2 linked regions of the Saccharomyces cerevisiae S288C genome follow. The gene in region 1 interacts genetically with each later gene. Each region holds a gene or a part of one and is shown on either strand. Other genes may lie near its edges. The genes, in order: YKL183C-A and LAP2.

The links.
Region 2: mutations in YKL183C-A (region 1) and LAP2 together harm fitness more than expected from each alone (negative genetic interaction), as found in Saccharomyces cerevisiae (one large-scale study listed by BioGRID).

What each region holds. Positions count from the first base shown.
Region 1 is NC_001143.9:97,607-100,329, forward strand, and holds YKL183C-A (uncharacterized protein), read right to left. Parts: upstream 1,002-2,723; coding exon 789-1,001; downstream 1-788. Other genes in the region: ornithine decarboxylase SPE1, read left to right, coding at 1-551; LOT5 (Lot5p), read left to right, coding at 1,115-2,035.
Region 2 is NC_001146.8:541,046-545,570, reverse strand, and holds LAP2 (bifunctional aminopeptidase/epoxide hydrolase), read right to left. Parts: upstream 2,609-4,525; coding exon 593-2,608; downstream 1-592. Other genes in the region: YIP3 (Yip3p), read right to left, coding at 1-200, 280-303; YNL046W (uncharacterized protein), read right to left, coding at 2,749-3,267; SLM2 (phosphatidylinositol 4,5-bisphosphate-binding protein), read left to right, coding at 3,690-4,525. UniProt on the Saccharomyces cerevisiae protein: Aminopeptidase that preferentially cleaves di- and tripeptides. Also has low epoxide hydrolase activity (in vitro).

The sequences.
Region 1 (2,723 bases):
GTGGTGGATTTCAATTTGAATCCTTCAAAGAATCAACTGCTGTTTTGCGTCTAGCGCTAGAGGAATTTTTCCCTGTAGGTTGTGGTGTTGATATAATTGCAGAGCCTGGCAGATACTTTGTAGCTACAGCGTTCACTTTGGCATCTCATGTGATTGCGAAGAGAAAACTGTCTGAGAATGAAGCAATGATTTACACTAACGATGGTGTATACGGGAACATGAATTGTATTTTATTCGATCATCAAGAGCCCCATCCAAGAACCCTTTATCATAATTTGGAATTTCATTACGACGATTTTGAATCCACTACTGCGGTCCTCGACTCTATCAACAAAACAAGATCTGAGTATCCATATAAAGTTTCCATCTGGGGACCCACATGTGATGGTTTGGATTGTATTGCCAAAGAGTATTACATGAAGCATGATGTTATAGTCGGTGATTGGTTTTATTTTCCTGCCCTGGGTGCCTACACATCATCGGCGGCTACTCAATTCAACGGCTTTGAGCAGACTGCGGATATAGTATACATAGACTCTGAACTCGATTGAAGGATATATTTAACCACGACTTTCGCAAGAGAGACGGAGGGGGTGGGAAAAGGCTGAATGCAACCATTGTCACTAAGAATTTGAGTGTTCATGAACGAGTTATACACGCTATTTAAGAGTCAGAGAATGATGATTCAAGAAAATTCTGGCATTTTTCCTGTCCACCACTGTACGCCATTGTACACAAAAGTATTTTTTTATATTTTTTTTACAATTTTTTATAATTTTTTTTTATGTTTAGTGTATATTTGCTAGAAAGAAACAAGATCTTTTTTGGTAGTGTAAATGCTTAAACTTTGTCTCTTTTTCCTTTTTACTTTGGAAAAATGCCGACGCAAGAACATAGACATCTGCGAAAACCAAAAATAAAGTACCAATTGTACATACAAAAACAGAGAAAAAGTTCATGAACAGAACGTTACTACGGTATAGCAAGATCTTTGAATACATCCATTACTTCGGATTGTTCACCATACTTCAACACAGGCCAAGATAGACCATAGCTACAGTGATAGACGAATATTTATTTCAAAAGAAGCATCAACCATAAAATAAAAAGAAAAATGATGAAAAAAAAACCAAAGTGCCAAATTGCAAGGACCAAACCATCGGTCGAAAACGTCATACCATATAACCAATTCAAGAAGACGCAGCCGCGATTCAACGGCAACTTTTCTGCACTGAATAATGAAGAATACATAATACTCTTTGGCGGAGGTCGGGACCTGATACTAGGCTCCCTGACACCTTGTTCGAGCTCTCATTTGTCCAATCAAGCCAACCCACAAGACACCAGTGAGTATGGCACAGACCTGTTTATACTCAACAGCTGCATTATCATTTGGTTCAATGGCTTGGGATATGGGCTGGAAATTCCCTACAGCAGCGTTTTGTACCATGCATCAAGACGGCTACCAGATGGTAGGGAAGGGCTTCAATTAGAAATTTTGCTGACTTTGGAAAGAGACGAAGTGTTGGACATGCTCTACCAAAGCCTCGCGCCACAGGCCTGCGAATTCGACGGCGAAGAAGCACATGCCTTCACCGTGCGCAGCGTGGAATTGACTATCAGGCCCAAATATTCAATATACGATCGCCATTATAACAACGAAATCGAAACCCTTTTCACCTTCGAAAACTTCGGCGTGAACAGGGGCGATGACCTGGTAAACAATTGTAACGAAGCACTAGCCGTATGCATGGACCTGCACGGTGAGGACGTACAAGATCAAGACCAGGAACAATACCAAGATCCAAGCATGGCGTTTGAGGGTGCGCAAGATCTCAACGCCACGTATTCTGGGCTTGGAGACACCCTTCACGGGCCGCCCGTGTATCAGAACGACGGGCTGGCAGACGATCTGGATGGCGACCTCGTTATGGACAACGTGGTCTCTAGGGGTGGTCCAGAAGCAAGTATGTCTATGGAGTTCTACGCAAATCAAAATCTTGCTGGCAGAAAGAACTCCAGAGACAATGAATGAACAACATCTATTATGGGAACATCCCGCTGTACTATGCGGTCTCGTCCTCTACGAATATGGCTATTTGCCTTCGTATATACCTTTCTATACCAAGTAATGAATGTCTTGAGGGCCCGTATGGCCGCGCGAAGGCTTAGTTAAGATGTTTCAGCAAACGGCAGCATGTGAAAAAACCCGTAGAAGGTCCGCATCAGCCTTCCATGCCCGTGCACCCACGGCTCCTCGGAGGCCGGGTTATAGCAGCGTCTGCTCCGCATCACGATACACGAGGTGCAGGCACGGTTCACTACTCCCCTGGCCTCCAACAAACGACGGCCAAAAACTTCACATGCCGCCCAGCCAAGCATAATTACGCAACAGCGATCTTTCCGTCGCACAAGTTAAAAGAAATTGTTGAAAAATACAAATAATCGCGAACAATACGTTGTTGCTATTTAACGCTTTTGGTCTGACAGTAAGTGTGCCTTTCCCAATCACCGAAAAGTGTTGAACGATTCACTGCGACAATAATCAGAGATTACAGTCGGCATTTTGGCATTTTTGGCATACTTTTTATCGATTGAACCATCTTCTCCAAACACTTTTCCTTTTTCCTTCTATTCTGCAGGACCAACTAAAACTGGGTATATATATCATTATCTATATATATAAACGGCTTTCAACAAAGTTATAGGGGAAAACTAAAAAT
Region 2 (4,525 bases), on another chromosome or scaffold:
ATCAAACCATAGTTACTGGAAAAGTACTTCAGGTTATACGCCACTCTGGATTGAACTTCCCCAAAGTTTTGAGGTTTGGAAATTTTCTTGAAATTGAAAAATTCTTGCGGGGTGCGAAGGGTTGCTAATTTAGATTGCAAGGATTGGAACTCGCTCTTAATATTTTCCATGGAGAAGTTTTGAGTGAAACGTGAAACTTGCTATAGAAATATAGAAAAAAGGTTAACGCGTTAGTATAGTTTTTCAATGATGCAAATGTGTTTACAATTTAGAACTTACGGCTAAAGCTCCTAACTGATTCATTATTGGAGTATTTGATGTTATTTTATGCGTATTTGACGGCTGATAGTTCCAAACTCAGTGTTCAAAGCCCTGCAATATTGAATTCAATCTGAATTCTTTCGATTTGTATTTATATTCGTTGTTATTATTTATTTTTTCTTTTTGCCTCGATTGCATGTGACAAAAGTGCAAAATTCGTATCGCACGACACAGAACTCCGCCACTAATTAGAACCAGAGAAGTAGCAATGAAGGCTCATTAGTAGGTTATATTTAATTGTTTACGTATTCATGTTACGACACGTCCCTTTTCAAAGACCTAAATCTTGTTTCACAAGAGCTTTACAGATTGGATGATACGTGTCCTTGAATTTGTCGAAAGTTGCAAGTGCCAATCGACGGTCTACAGAGTTTAATAGTCTGTAACCGGGACGGACAAACTTCATTCTACCTACAGTTCCCAACCAATCGGCCAAATGCTTATATTCTTCTTGCAGCTTGGCAAAGATCTGAAATTTGAACATCTTGAAAACAACTTCCGCGTTCTGTGATTTAACAATGTTATCTTGATAGATATCTAACAGTGCCCTAGATGCCACGGGAAACTTGGCCCAGTCAAAATCTTTTGGTTTCTTGTTGGAATGGCCATTTTGTGTCAAAGTTTCCAAGAACAAAACCAATTGATTTGAATTAAAATCCTTAATGTCAATAGCGTTAAATTCAGACCGGAAATCCTCTGTGGTTTTCAAATGTTGAGCCATTTCGACCCACTTGTCAGCCAATTGATAAACATTATCAGCCAAAGCCGTAATAAAATGAGGCCTTGGTGGCATACCTGGTTTATACAGCCAAGTTTCCCAGTCAACGGAATCCAAAATTTCTTTCTTTTCGGGATAGAACTCATACAAAGTATCCAAAAACTGGAAAGTATCCAATGATTTTTTGGCAAACTTCTTGAAATAGTGTCTAATAAATGGATCAAATTCAGCCTTACCACCCAAAATAGTTTCCAAGTGAAATAGTAAGTTGAACCCCTTTTCGTACGGAACAGTGGAAAAGGCATCGTCAGGGTCAGTGTTATCGTTCAAGTTTTGTACCAAAGTGGAAAATCTTTCAGGATCTTTCATAGAATCAATAGAATTCTGCAAATCGCTCCAACCAATCAGAGCACTGAAATGTCTAGTTGGTTCGCCATGAATGGCACCAATAATTCTTCTTTCTAAGTAAACGGTCCAACCTTCATTCAACCAAAAATGATTCCACGAACAATTGGTCACTAAGTTACCAGACCATGAGTGAGCAAGTTCATGGGCGATGACATCAATGTTGGATCTGTCATGTGCAATCAAGGTGGGCGTAGCAAAAGTCATATTCGGAGACTCCATACCGCCGTAAGGGTACGAATCGACGTTAACTAAGATATCATAAGTGCCCCACTCGTATTCAAAGATAATTTTCTCTGCAGTTTGAATGAATTTCTCTACATCGTTTTCAAATTCCCATTGACAATCTTTCAAACGAAATGGTTCAGTGTAAACTGTGGAACGAGGTCCAATTGGAGCGCTTGACAAATCACCGGAAGCAATACCGATCAGGTAGGCTGGGATAGGGACTTTCTGTTCAAATCTGTAAATATTAGTATCCTTGCTTGTATCTTCAATCCTGATGCCTGAAAAAACCACTGGTAGTGGGGACTCGATAGATGCAGTGAAAGTAGACTTCACAGAGGGAGTATCAAAGCAGGGGAACAAAGACCTCGCATGAATAGCTTCCAACTGTGAAAACACGTACGGTTTACCGCCCTTGGTTTGCTTGCTGTTCAACCATTGCAAAGCGGTGCACTTGTCAGTCGTACGAAATTGAATATTCAAGGTAAAGTTATCGTTGCAAGAAGCGTTATTGATGACTAACCTGGAGCCCAATGGCTCCTTTCTTTGCTCAATTTGAAAATCTGCCTTGGAACCATCAATATGAACCTCCTGGACATCCAAATAGGATGTATCCAGATGTAATTCATCCGATTTATTTTTACCTTCGTGCAGTTTTTTCAATTGGAATGTAACGCTCCCTGAAATGGCTGACTTTTCGAAGGAAACAGACAGGTTTAAATCGGTGTGAAGAACTGCGAAGTCCTTATAATTTGATAAAGTAGACTGATCGTATTCGGGGGAGCGGGAAGGTCTTCTCTGCTCAATTGAAAGAGGCAACATTTTATGAGGGGTGGAAATGTGTATGTTTCTTGAGATTACAGTAAGTAAACCTCGAAATCGAAGCGTGGGCAGGTAAATAGAGCTGGAATGACGAATGACAAATGGAAGCAAGAACATCAATTAGAACACCAAGATAACCTAATACATAAAGCAAACTATACTAAAGTGCGTTTATATAAGTCAAACGAAAAAGTGGAAGAAAAAAAGTGACATGATTTTCCATACGCAATGCCCCCGGAAACTGAAGACGCATTGTGTCAAAAGATGAATGAAAGCCACGACGAAACAGCCGAAAATGGTGACAGGAGAGGGCCAACGAGCCCCGTGAGAAGACCTGTGTAGGGCGTACCCATGAAGGAGGCCCCTATGATTTTCCATTTGGAAACACTCAGGATGTTTTCTGATGACTGGATGATGATGTCCTTGAGGACCAGGAGACAGCCAAAAAATACAATTGAGATCGCGAGCACAACAACCAAAGGCCTTGTGTTGATGTCATAGCGAACATACCTTTCATTGATATGATGCGTAGATGGCGTTACTGACGGTGAGCTGTTGTACATAGAGTTTTTGACTCTCACGCTTTGATTATCCCTAAAATCACCCGGAATTCTGTACTGGGATTCAACCGGCACTGCCTGCTTCTGTACCCTTCTTTTATGCAGCAGCTTCCGCAGTTGGTTAGTGGTTCCGCATTTCTGTGATTTGCTTCCATCTACAGTTGAAGTTTTCCTCTTAAAGAATTGCCCAATTGACCTCTTTGATACGTGCTCCATTAATATCTTGCGCCGAAATTGTCACACTATGCTCACGTATGATTAGTGTATTTATATATGAATAATTCAAATGGCAGGCAGTTTCTTGTTCGAGCCAGCATTGGCGAAAAAAATGCCAAAAGTAGAAGTAAATACGGTAGACACTCCAGCAAGATAAAGCTGCAATATATAACACATCACGGCGATGCTTGTATATTTAGGAGCTCTTACGTCCACCAATGCTAATATATCCTCCTAATGATGGCGCTGATACTGGTAAAAACTCATAATGGTAGTAGTCATTAGCCAATACCTGCCTCTTTTTTCCGGGTCATGCCGCATTCTTTAATCAAAAGGCGATGCAACCTACTACATGAGAAGATGACCGCGCAAGCAAAGGTTTAGGAGAGCGTTATACGCTTTACCCAGCCGTCCATTGCACCATGTCTTACCAACGGAACAGTGCAAGAGCCTCTCTTGACCTCAGAAGTCAATATCAACAACTGGAAGGCAGAATGAGGTCAGAACATTTTAATCCCGCCTATCAACAGCAGCAACAAAAAGGCCAGAACATACCCCTGTCACTACCCTCGTCGCTTGCGCAACGCAATCCTATACCTTACCCTATCGACGCTGTGACTTCCGATCCCACTATCCCGGCTCAGTTGAACGTATATGATCACGATCGGCAAAATTCGATAGTCGATGCTGCGGCTGGCACCAATACGACGCACTCTTTGAACTCTAATAATATTCCATCATCACAAAATAATAATATTAATAATAACAATATCAATAATGTTGGTTCCTTCACTGACCCTTCCATGCTAACGCTGCCAAAAATGTCTTTACATAGCCACCAGAAGCAGTATGATTCTAACCAAAACGATCCTAGGTCCCCTCTGGCGATACTGATACCGACTTCTGCGCAGCCCACTGATGTCTTGTCTGCTAGGTTTTCTGCCTGGAGAAATGTTATTCGTGCCATCTTGGTATATCTCTCTGAGACCGCCTCAATACAGGACGAAATAGTTAGACAGCAACTGAGGTTGTCCCATGCTGTGCAGTTCCCCTTTTTCAGCATTGAAAACCAATATCAACCGGTCTCTAATGAAGACAAGTCCATGCAGAAATTTTTTCTGCCCTTAGGAAGTGGATCCGTTCAAGATTTGCCCACGATGCTGACCAAGTATCATGATAATCTGGCCTCTTTGGCATCGAAAAGTTCCAAGGAGTTGACCAGTGAAATTATACCCAGGCTAGAGGATTTGAGAAGAGA